Arabidopsis thaliana: one gene and its partners. The protein of the gene in region 3 interacts with the protein of the main gene of each other region in a pairwise test. Each region holds a gene or a part of one and is shown on either strand. Other genes may lie near its edges.

The links.
Region 1: the proteins of AT1G24230 (region 3) and BIM3 interact in a two-hybrid assay, tested with the Arabidopsis thaliana proteins (one large-scale study listed by BioGRID).
Region 2: the proteins of AT1G24230 (region 3) and SOM interact in a two-hybrid assay, tested with the Arabidopsis thaliana proteins (one large-scale study listed by BioGRID).

Annotation. Positions count from the first base shown.
Region 1 is NC_003076.8:15,557,283-15,561,717, forward strand, and holds BIM3 (BES1-interacting Myc-like protein 3), read left to right. Parts: upstream 1-1,618; 5' UTR 1,619-1,800; coding exon 1,801-1,955; intron 1,956-2,053; coding exon 2,054-2,129; intron 2,130-2,208; coding exon 2,209-2,304; intron 2,305-2,448; coding exon 2,449-2,786; intron 2,787-3,274; coding exon 3,275-3,404; intron 3,405-3,527; coding exon 3,528-3,629; 3' UTR 3,630-3,844; downstream 3,845-4,435. Other genes in the region: AT5G38850 (Disease resistance protein (TIR-NBS-LRR class)), read left to right, coding at 21-1,148.
Region 2 is NC_003070.9:952,621-956,727, reverse strand, and holds SOM (Zinc finger C-x8-C-x5-C-x3-H type family protein), read right to left. Parts: upstream 2,439-4,107; 5' UTR 2,140-2,438; coding exon 958-2,139; 3' UTR 584-957; downstream 1-583. UniProt on the Arabidopsis thaliana protein: Probable transcription repressor that functions as a negative regulator of phytochrome-mediated promotion of seed germination. Inhibits seed germination by regulating the expression of gibberellic acid (GA) and abscisic acid (ABA) metabolic genes.
Region 3 is NC_003070.9:8,583,460-8,586,904, forward strand, and holds AT1G24230 (Paired amphipathic helix (PAH2) superfamily protein), read right to left. Parts: upstream 1,677-3,445; coding exon 1,534-1,676; intron 1,462-1,533; coding exon 1,249-1,461; intron 1,137-1,248; coding exon 962-1,136; intron 867-961; coding exon 765-866; intron 685-764; coding exon 580-684; downstream 1-579. Other genes in the region: AT1G24240 (Ribosomal protein L19 family protein), read left to right, coding at 2,972-3,181.

The DNA of each region.
Region 1 (4,435 bases), on a different chromosome or scaffold from region 3:
AACATCTGGTTTACATTCAGCCCCTTGCAAATCTCAAGAAGATGTCTTTGTCAAGTTCATGGTATTTAAAGAAACTTCCGGATCTGTCAAATGCTACAAATCTCGAAGAATTGGATCTGAGAGCTTGCCAGAATTTAGTAGAGCTTCCTTCCTCCTTTTCTTATCTGCATAAGCTAAAGTATTTGAATATGATGGGATGCAGAAGGCTAAAAGAAGTTCCACCTCATATCAACTTGAAGTCTCTTGAATTGGTCAACATGTATGGATGCTCAAGATTAAAAAGCTTTCCAGATATTTCTACAAACATCAGTTCACTCGACATATCATACACTGATGTGGAAGAACTACCTGAATCAATGACGATGTGGTCTCGCCTACGTACTCTCGAAATATACAAAAGTAGAAACCTCAAGATAGTAACACATGTGCCCCTAAACCTAACATATCTAGACCTCAGCGAGACTAGAATTGAGAAGATTCCAGATGACATCAAAAATGTTCATGGGCTGCAAATTTTATTTCTAGGTGGCTGCAGAAAACTCGCATCATTGCCAGAGCTTCCTGGTTCGCTCTTGTACTTATCAGCAAACGAGTGTGAATCACTTGAGAGCGTATCTTGCCCTTTTAATACTTCATACATGGAACTCAGCTTCACCAACTGCTTCAAACTAAACCAAGAAGCACGCAGAGGAATTATTCAACAATCATTTTCTCATGGGTGGGCATCCTTACCTGGAAGAGAGTTGCCCACTGACTTATACCACCGATCTACCGGACATTCCATCACCGTTCGTCTCGAGGGCAAGACTCCTTTTTCTGCATTCTTTGGATTTAAGGTTTTCCTCGTGATTTCCCCTAACCATGATGCTGAAGAAACTAGCAATTCTCCCTTATTTTGTCCTCGCATTGGCAAAATCGGTTGCTCCGATGACGAAACACCTATTTATATTATCCCCAAACCTCGAGCAGAACATCTAGTTATGTTTCACTCTGACTTGCATAACAAGGAAAAATGTCATGAAGTAGGCAACGAGATACTGTTTGAATTCAGCAACATATCCGACACCTATGAGATTATTGAGTGTGGTGTCAGATTCTATACAGATGAACAGGTGAAATCAGTGAAAGGAGAAATGAATATGAAATAGACCAAGTTTGTGAAGATGAAAACGATTGGAGCTATGAGTTTGGACCCGTGGAAGCATTGGAATGCTCTAAAAATAATGGACATAATGATAGCCTAATCTGTACTTCGAACGAAGACAAGATCGAAGCCAACAAATACACAGATTGTTGGAGTTGGCTCATCATCTGTTTTGATGTCTCCCATATTGTGAGAAGCATCGGAAGTTTAGTTTGGGGAGGAAGATGAGAGAAGCAAGAAGGAGAATATCAAAGTGGAGAAGTCGAACGAATTTGCAAGTGAGGAAAGAATATCTGTTTATACTTTACAATGACTTGTTTGGCTGCTTCACTGAGTTGGATATGATGAGTAGTAGCATCATACTGTTTGAATTCGGATGCAGCAAATATTACTGAAATGCAGTGTACGGATCGTGAAAACTGACAAAATTGATAGTAGCAACAACAGTGAATTAATTTGGGCCTGAAACTATCCGTTTTAAATGGGCTTTTGAGCCTTTCACATTATCTATGTAATTTTCGATTTTATCTTCCTTTTCTTTTCACCTTCTCGACGAACACACCTACACAAAAATCAATCACAGTCTCTGTCTCACTCGCCGGAGTTTCGGTCACTGCGCCATCTCCGGGGTCGAGTTCGTCGTACTTCATCGAACTATGAACTCTCATGATATCGATGATCAGTTAGAAGCAGATGTATACAGTAACTTGCCTTCTCGAAATGATTCTTCAACAGGGAGGAGAAATCGAAACTCGTGTAGATCGAAACACTCAGAGACTGAGCAACGAAGAAGAAGCAAAATCAATGAAAGGTAAATAATAAGTGTTCAAAGTTTGAATTTTTATCAGATTTTCTAAAAAGGGTAACAAGAAAGTTTCGTAATTTGTGATTGTTGGTTGGTGGATACAGATTTCAGAGTTTAATGGATATTATACCTCAGAATCAGAATGATCAGAAACGAGATAAAGCTTCTTTCTTGTTGGAGGTTAGTAAAATTTATAGTTTTGAACAGAACATGTGTTTCAGAGAATCAGAATGATGTTTGCTTTTATATGTTGTCTCAGGTTATAGAGTATATTCACTTTCTTCAAGAAAAAGTTCACATGTATGAAGATTCTCACCAAATGTGGTATCAATCCCCAACCAAATTGATTCCTTGGGTATATTCCTTCTCCTATCTTTGGTTGGTTTTCTGTTATATTGAATCGTTTTTGTTACATTTTTTTAGAGAAACATGGTTATTGTGTTAAGTGTTTCATCTTTCTTGGTATTTTTGACAACTGTTTCATGTAACTTTGATGCAGAGAAATAGTCATGGGTCTGTTGCGGAGGAAAATGACCATCCTCAAATCGTTAAAAGCTTTTCAAGTAATGATAAAGTTGCTGCTTCTTCGGGTTTTCTCTTGGATACGTACAATTCAGTAAATCCTGATATTGACTCAGCAGTTAGCACCAAGATTCCTGAACACAGTCCTGTTTCAGCAGTTTCATCGTATCTACGTACCGAGCCTTCGCTGCAGTTTGTTCAGCATGACTTTTGGCAACCAAAAACAAGTTGTGGAACAATTAACTGTTTTACAAATGAATTGTTAACATCTGACGAAAAAACATCAGCCAGCTTGTCCACTGTCTGCTCACAAAGGTAAGACATATGTAGAGCAAAATAAAGCTTTTTTTGTTCAGTAATTAATTCATTTTTTTGGTAGAAAGTTTGGGTTGGTATATAGTTTCTCACGGATGTACACTCATTTCCTTCCTGTCTGGCTCTCCTTAAACAGTGGCTTACCTTTTTTGGATACTAAGAGAGAATGATATAATACAAGGTTCCAATGATGCCTCAGCTATTTGCGGAGACTTCTTGTTTGCCTTGGCTATGAAGTTCTGTAGGATAGAGTATGAGATAAATGCTGTAAACTTGGTAATTGTTAGAGGAAAAGATTTTGCATAACCATAATCCAAAGTTTCTCTTTTGAATAGTGCTTCTCTCTCCTAAATAGGTAGTCATTCAAACTGAAGATCCTATCTGCTTCTGTATTTGGAACAGACTCAGGGTTCTAAAAACGGATAACTGGAGGAAATAAAGATGGAGAGATTTGATTGAAAACTCTTGTTTGGTTTGATTGTGAACAGGGTACTTAACACTCTAACTGAAGCACTTAAGTCATCGGGTGTTAACATGTCAGAGACCATGATATCTGTGCAGTTAAGCCTTCGGAAAAGAGAAGATCGCGAGTATTCTGTTGCTGCGTTTGCTTCTGAGGTATGCCTGTAACATTTTTACAGTGGAAAAGAAAAAGAAGTCTACTACTCTGCAAGTAATTCTTATAAAAACATTTCTATGTATTTTAATTTGTATTTTGATGCTATGTATCTTTTTCATTAGGATAATGGTAATAGCATCGCTGATGAAGAAGGGGACTCTCCTACTGAAACTAGAAGCTTCTGCAATGATATTGATCATTCCCAGAAGAGAATAAGACGATAAGATCTGGTTTTCTATTTTCTATGTTATGACAACTGTTTGATAATTTTGTTACTTTCGGTGAGTCAGGATCAGTAGGTGTAGATACTACTTTTATCGTGCTGCAACTATTTTAAATGATATAGTAAAAACTAAGTAGAATGATGTAACAAGTTTCGCAAATCTATAACAAGAGTTTGCTCCATTTAATGGTACTTTAAGTATATGGTCTCTTAGATATATCACTTCTTGCCCTTCTATTTCTCACACTATTAACCGGGAAATTATTTCGTGCTTGTTGACATGTCTGTATCAAGTAATGCGTTTGATTTGCAGAAAGGAGTCCTTGTTTTCTTGTGTCTCAAGCTTGATTTGAGCTAGAGTATCTAGATCTTTAGATTCAAGAACAGATGCAATATTCTGTAGAAGTTGAAAACTCATCTTTATTCTTTAACCTTATGTAAATATGACTGTCTATACAACAGATAGTTCATCTCTCGACTAAATGTTTGGTATATATATGTATATATTATGATACTCTTGTTCGATTAAGGAGGCTGTTTGTTTGCTGAAGGAGATGAAGCAGGAGGAGGGCCAGGTTTGTTTGGTGGTGGTAGGAATGGGAATGGAGGAAATGGAAAGATCGACGGAGGTGGAGGAGGAGGAGGAGGAGGTGGTGGTGGTGGATTTAGGCCTGGAAAGATCGGTGGCAGTGGAGGAAAGAGAGACCATGGTGGAGGAGGAGTGGGAAGAGGAGGACGAGGCTGAAATGGGTTTGGAGGGAATATCGATGGAGGAGGAGTGGGAGGAGGCTGAGGAGGATGAGGCTG
Region 2 (4,107 bases), 7.6 Mb from region 3:
CATGCATGTATGTGCTCATATATTATAATATTATGTAGTCAACACGTCTCGATATGTACATCTGTCGATGACATACACATGCCTCATATGAAAGCTACTAGCTTTCGTGTGGTGTCCAAAGAAGAACAATTGGAGAACTTGTCGCACCTTTTTATATACAAAAAAGGATGTGACATATAACTTTAGGGAGACGGTACTAACACAACTGTATTCTCGTCTACCAGGCACCAGCATAACCAAAACATAACACATTTCAGGGTGAGGGGGATGAATAATTCGAGAATTGTGCATAGGTACATTCATAAAATTAAATCATAAACATAACACGTTTCAGGGTATACGATGAGATGAAACATTTATTTTCAAGAAACGCATATCTTAATATCATTTATAAAACTTAATAGCGTAAACCGAAAACGCAATGTGATCAATCGTCCAGTGATATTTTATACGTTTAAAAGCTTAATACAAATTAACTATAAAACAAAAACCATCAGTTAATCAATATACATATCACAATGATGAAAACAGACGAAGACGAAAACAAAAAAGAAGATCAATATACATATCAATATTCAATTGTGAGGTTGTAATGTTCAAATTGATCTATTAAAGATTTAACAAAGTATACATGAAAAGGGAAAAATATCTATAGAATTGGTGAAACATTGCACAATCCGAGTCCACAAGATATTACAAGTTCAACATATTATTTGGTAAAAATCCCATCAGAAAAAGAAAATTCTAAAAAATAAACGACAATACACAAGACACTTCTGAATTAGCTAAAAAAAAAAATCTTCAAAATAAATTTGAACAAACAATCTCTCCATGCATTGACCAAACCGTTACGAACCGATTATTCTCCCATGATTCATGAATGTGATTAAAATTCTTCCACCGAAATTTACATTCTCAAGTCAGATCTCCTCCCGGCGAATCTCCACCGTCAATCCCTCAAGTCAAGAGATCATTGACCCATCCTAGATCAGGGTCACCACAAGAACCATCCTCAATGTTAGTATTCTCCCTAACGGCCGTCATCGCCGTGAAATCGTTCATCTGTCTCCGGCGAGGAGTGAAATCATCACTGAAGAAGTTCGCCTGAGGTGAGTTAGTTAGGTAACTTGGAGTGGAAGGCGAAAGAGCAAATTGCAAAGGGCTACTTGGTTGTTGTTGCTGGAGATGGAGACGCTGATTGCTCAGACCGCAGGACGACGCAAACGCGGCAGCCGCAGCGGAAACCGGAGTTGTAACGGGCGACGAGGAACTCGCCTGCAGCGCTTCCGCTAAGCTCATGGAATCCAAAGAATTCACAAGCTCGCTCAAAACGTCTTTATAGTTCATTGAACCAGCGGCTGCAGCGGCGGAAACGGCAGAAGCGGCGCGGTTCCTCAACCGTGAAAAAGCAGCGGCTTTATTAGCCGGAGACATAGGTGGAGACAGAGACGGAGATCGAGAAAGATGAGACAAATTACCCAAAAGAGTGCTCGTGGGAGAGCTGCTACAAAACAAGCAACATGGATTCTTCGCCGCAGGAGAAGGCGACGCTGAGACACCGGAAACGTTCTCCGGAGGAAGAACCCTAAGCTGACGTGGCGAATGAGCAAAGAAACAGACTTTCCTTTTACAGTGTTTACCGTCTTTACAAGCTTCAGTACGGTAACGAATAGGATGGAGCCAACACTCGAAGACTCCATGAGCAAACTCACAATCATCTCCACGGCTACAATCACCACCACGACGAAACTCGGGACAAACCTCACCGGAGTATTGAAAGCGACGAGGGTCACGACGGCGAGCTTTCTCACCGGGATGAGCAAAAGGACAATCAGTCCAATCGTGGCTTCGGCTACGAGTGCAACGACGGATCTTGAATTCGAACATCCGGAAATGATCACTTGCGTAAGGATCATCAGAGTCAGAATCATAACAGTACTCTTTATTCTCTCTGTTGTTGTCTTCGTTGTCTTCTTCATGTTCAGATGTAATCTTGTTGCTTTTGTTCCAGTTATGTTTACGCGGCGAGCGAGGGGAAGAAGAATCAGAAGGAAAACTCTTGGAAGATAAAAGAAGCTTTCTCGGAGGAATCTCCACCGTTGGCTTCCTCATTTGATGTTCCGTACAAACGACATCCATGATGATATAATATCTAACTTGTTTTTTTTGTTTGTGATGTGTTTTGGTTTTGAGGGATTTGTGTAAGATGAAAGATGGGATATTGTGGTTTATATATATGTGGATTGAGTATAGATATAGACATGAGAATAAGTTAAAACGTATATTTAAATATTGTTAGCTTTGGATTATTATCATTAAATAGAATTTTGATGAGATGTAATAAGAAGACAAGAGATTAAAAAGTGGAAGGAGTCGTGTGAAGGGTATGGGGAGAGGGTTCGTGGCGAGATAAGAGAAGAGTTTTAGAGAGGTTTCATGCAAAAGAAGCAGGAGCTGCCTTTCTCTCCTTGCTTCAGACCTAACACATGTGCCTATGTTTTCATCAGCATCATCCTCTCTTTCTCTCTCCCTTATCAACATCCATTTACTTTCTAATTTGTTTTTTTGTTAGAATTATACTTGAAAGTATAAGGATAAAACAACTAACTTTATAACAAATTAATTATAATGTATGAATTTGTCTTCTAGTTTGTTACCAAGTAGGCAAGTACTTTGTGACTTTGATACCAAAAATAAGTAACCACCCCATATATATGATTATGTTACTGTTTGATAAGTATTCTTGTTTGTTAAAGCGATCAGCATTTGAAGTATTATTTTTCCTTACTTAGGATTATTATTTAAAGCAGTTTTACTTATTTTTTCATATATTAATTTGTATTTTTGGATTTTAAGTTAAGTGTTCATATTTTTCTTCTTTTACTTAATTTTATCTCTTAGAAGAAAATATTTTAACAAAAACTTAAAATCATTAATTTTTACTCTCTTGGATACGTAACTGCTATGTAAAATAACGTAGTACATAACCGAATAAGTATCAGTATGACAGAAAATCGATCAATATATCATCTAAATTAAATGAGTAAATTGGTAAGAAAACAATTAACTGGTAGATTTAGAAACATTAAATTTGGTTCATCCCCTCGGACTATAGGTTCAATCACGTTTCAAGATCATAAAAGCGACGAAATAACAAATATAACGAAATTCAAATATAATATTCTTAGCTTGTTTTCCTAAGAACATAGTTTCACAACTTCGAAAAGTTTATATGTAAAGAAAGACGTTCTTCAAACTTAAACTGTAGAACACTTTAATTATGTAAAGATCTTCCATATAAATAATTTAACCACAACTAAACTGTAGAACACTTTAATTAATTTTAACTTAAAATTAAGAAATATTAATGACTATAATAAAAAGAACTCGTACAACCTATTTATAAAAGACCTAGTTTAATTAATTTCTTGATACAATAATACAATCGCATAATTTGTCTGAATAAATTATACACGAACTTATAGAAGATCTTGTATACAACGAATCTAAGAAGACTTTACAACACAGAAAGGATATGCACGAGATTAAATACAAAACACGTATAAAAAAAATACGTTTTTTTATTTTGTACGCCATTTATCAGCGGAAACAAATGATATTTAATTACTTTTATAATTTTCAGTCTATCTATTAATGTATCTAAAAATCGGGTGCATGTGTATGTACAAGTGTCACTTTTTCCATTGTTGCGTGGCTCTGATGGAAGCAAATACATTTTTGGTTTCTACCTTCACAAGTCTTCAACTCCATAAATTAATTATTTAAAATACCAATTTCTAACTTTTATGCCAAAATTTTGAAGAATAAAATTAAGTTCCGAAATTGTGTGTTTTCATTTGGAATCGGATAGAAGAACCACGACAAAAACAGATATACAGATGAAAGCGGTAATTTACATTTAAAGTATAAACGAGAAATTAACTAATATTGTTTCGACGGCAAATAGAACACTGGTTTTGTTACATGACATTATGTTTCGGTTTTGGCAAGTTCAATGTTTTGGGACTGGTATCTCATTTTGTATCTAATTTTTGGTTATGTCCTTACTTAAATTATGGTTCCACACAATCCAAAGCTTCTCATTTT
Region 3 (3,445 bases):
CAATGGAGGATATTATTGTAAATATTTTTACGGATATATTCCAAAACTAATTTTTCGTGGATAATTTACAAAAGAAGTTTGAATTAGATGTTTAAAATATTTTCAATAAAAAGTGTGAATGATTAAAATCATATTTGAACGAAATCATGATAAAATTTACTTGAATTATCCGATTGACTTCTAATTATTTGATTTGTTGTGATTAGATTTACTTGATTTTTGTTTGCTCTGTAATTTTTGGCCATATATATAGGTTTGAGTAAAGGCTCTGTTCCTCTCTCTTTTTGTTTCTACATTAGACTAAGATGACCCCAAAATCTCATGTCTTCTTGGTAAGATTTAACAAACGAAATCATACACTCTCGTTTTAGTCTCTTATATTTACCCAAACCATTATGCATCTCATTGATCTCAAATATAGAAGCATATGAGTAAGAATCAAACTAATCTCAAATGTCTACAAATGATAACTATACACTCACTTCTCGTTAGAAAGAAGTACTCTTTTTGTCTCTTGTACCCCAAACATTATATTCCAAGCATCCTAAAATAAAGCAGAGACAGTCTTCTATAATGTACTCATCTATCTCTAGCAGATTTTGACCCTGATGGACCAGTGGTTCTCTTGAAAACGTTTGAAAACTCCATGACTAAATCTTCATGACCCTGAAGAAGTGCAACAACCTGCAAGCAAAGATAACAAAGCTAATCAAACCAAAGAGCTAAGAAGTGCAACACACAAAATGTCCCACCAAGAACCCTACCTCCTGGTACAAGTCATTTACGGATTTGTTTCCTTGTTGGTACATTGTCAATATCTCGAGAAATGACTCATATACATGGCCATCATTCCCCTGGAACCTTGCCTGTACATCGATGAATTTGTTATCTTAAATCACAAGTTAGCGTAGAGGAAACACCAAAAATAGATTAGTTTACCCATTTAGCATCCTGTATATACCTTAAGCTTGCTGATAAAATTTGCTACACGTATTCTTTTGTTATTATCAGGCTCAGCTTCGAGAGGGGTGGTTTTTGTATCTCCAGTTGAGAGCAAGACACTGAAACCAAGAACCAGATTCCGGTGGTCTTTCATGAGTTCCGTCATCCTTGCAACGGCACTAGGAGCATCGACTCTACAAAGAGAGACTTAGTAACATCAGAATCAGTTCAGTTCACATGTGTGTGTTGTTTTGTAAGCAGAAATTAGGAGAAAATCAAATATAACATGGAGAAAATAATTCATACCTACGGGCGCTATAATCATTCAAGATCTCGAGAAACTGAGCATATTTTGCAGGTTCATCACGAAATGATTCCTTCAAAGAATAGATGTATGAACGTACATCATGAAATGTTTCCTTAGCCTCAGCTGGAAGGAAGGCATTGAAACGAAGTAGCAGATTCACGTGATCTTTCAAGAGTTCCCGCATCCTTGGAACGACGGTAGCTAAATCGACTCTACAAAGAGAAAAATAACATGAGAATCAATCTCTCACATGTGTAGACTGTTTAAGAGCAAACCAAACATACCTATTAGCTCTTAAATCCAGCATGATGTCGAGAAACTCTCGATATTTTGCAGGTTGATCAGCCCCAAATGCTTCCTTCACAGCATTGATGTATGACGTCGCTTCATCAATAGTAAACGCCGGTGATAAGCTTCCTCCAACCATGGTCTAAAATTGGCCTAATCCATAAAGATTGAAGAGGTCTCAACTCATTGAAGAAACAGAAAATAGAGTGCATAAATACAAATCTTATTCCTCAAGAAACTTAATCCACCAAACAACACAATAGCCGAATTAGAAGAATCATGTCAAATTCATCGCAACAGGATCCTTAAGAAGATCCAGAATCAATCTCGAGTAGAAAGAAAAGAAAACAAAACCAAGAAGGATGAGCAAGAAACTAGAAAATTGCTCGAGCGCCTTTTAACCTAATCGTATCTGATGATGGAAGGAGAAGATGATCGTAACCCTAATCTTCCGGTGAGCGAAACTATGTTCAATCGAATGAGGAAGCAAGTATGTTACCGATATATAAGCAGACCAAAGACGACAATGAACAAGAAGCAGCTTCGTCTTCGTCTTCTTCGCAGAGTAAGGGAGTTCAAGATTTCTAGAAGCAAAGTAAAACTTCAGAGACTTTTTTTAGAGTTTTTGTTCACGAGTCTATATTTATACTAGGGATTATCATATATTCATACTTGACTTCAATTTTTGTTGTAGTTGTAAAACTATAATTTGTAAGAGAAAATTGAAACATAAATTTATAAAGATTTCTATATATCAAAGACGATGATGATGTGATATTTGTATTAATTTTAATCCTTGGTAAATTCTTATATAAATTCGTAATTTATATAATTTAGGAAACATATTTGTTGTCATTAGATTTACTTGATCTTTATTTGGTTTGCTCTGTTTCTCTCTGTTTTCGTCTATACGTTGAACTCTGCTTTGACTTTTGAGTGCTTACACTCTCGCCTCTCGGTTTCTAACAAATATGACCCCAAACCAAAAATCATATATGTACATGCCAGAAGAAGAATCGACCTGAATTCAAATCTCTATAATATATGAAACAATACAATCACTTTTCACCTCAATGTTTTTTTTTTGTTAACATTGAGGTTTTCATATGAGGTCATATCGATTTTGTTTTGAATTATTTTAGATTATGATTTCTACATGGATAGACAAGAGTTTTATTGTAAGTGCATGTATGTAATGATGTTCTGTTCTCTATACAATAAGCATCACACTAAACTCTTTCTAGCAAGAAGATGTCAAAGAAAAAAGAAAGGATGTATTTGATAAAAGCAAAAAATATCAGGGGTATATATGCAAATTACCAAAACAAAAATAAAGAAACCTGAAGGAGCAATGACAAGGGATTTGTTTTTCTCAAAATCTCTGAAAGCTTTTGGATATTTGTGATCGCATAGATCGATTCCTTTTGCGGAGAAATGCAATTGATTCGTGGCAGTACAAGGTTGCTTCAGAGGCATCGTTTCTCCATCTCCAACACTCTTCCTTTCACTTCTTCTTCTTGTGGAAGCTGGTCTGCTAATGAATCGAGGAAGCTAGGCTTTGATTCTTTCCCTAGTACTAGAGCTGCGACATATCTCATTAGCTCGTTGAAAAATGCCGGCTTTTCCTCTTTGGCAGTAGTACCTGTAAGCCATTGTCCTTCTCTGTCTTTGGTTTAAGATTGTTTTTTACTTCGTGTGGATTTGTAGAAATGTAGACGAGGTTTTGGTTGGTAATAGAGATCTTATGTCTAAATTGGTTTGAAAATTGCTAGGAATGTAAGAAAAACGAAAACTTTGATCTTGGGTTGGTCTCGCTGATTACTGATGAGTGTAGTCACTCTCCTAGCTTCAGATTCCACTGAATTCATCTTCCAAAAGCTCAGAGATCACTAAATAGAAAATGAACTT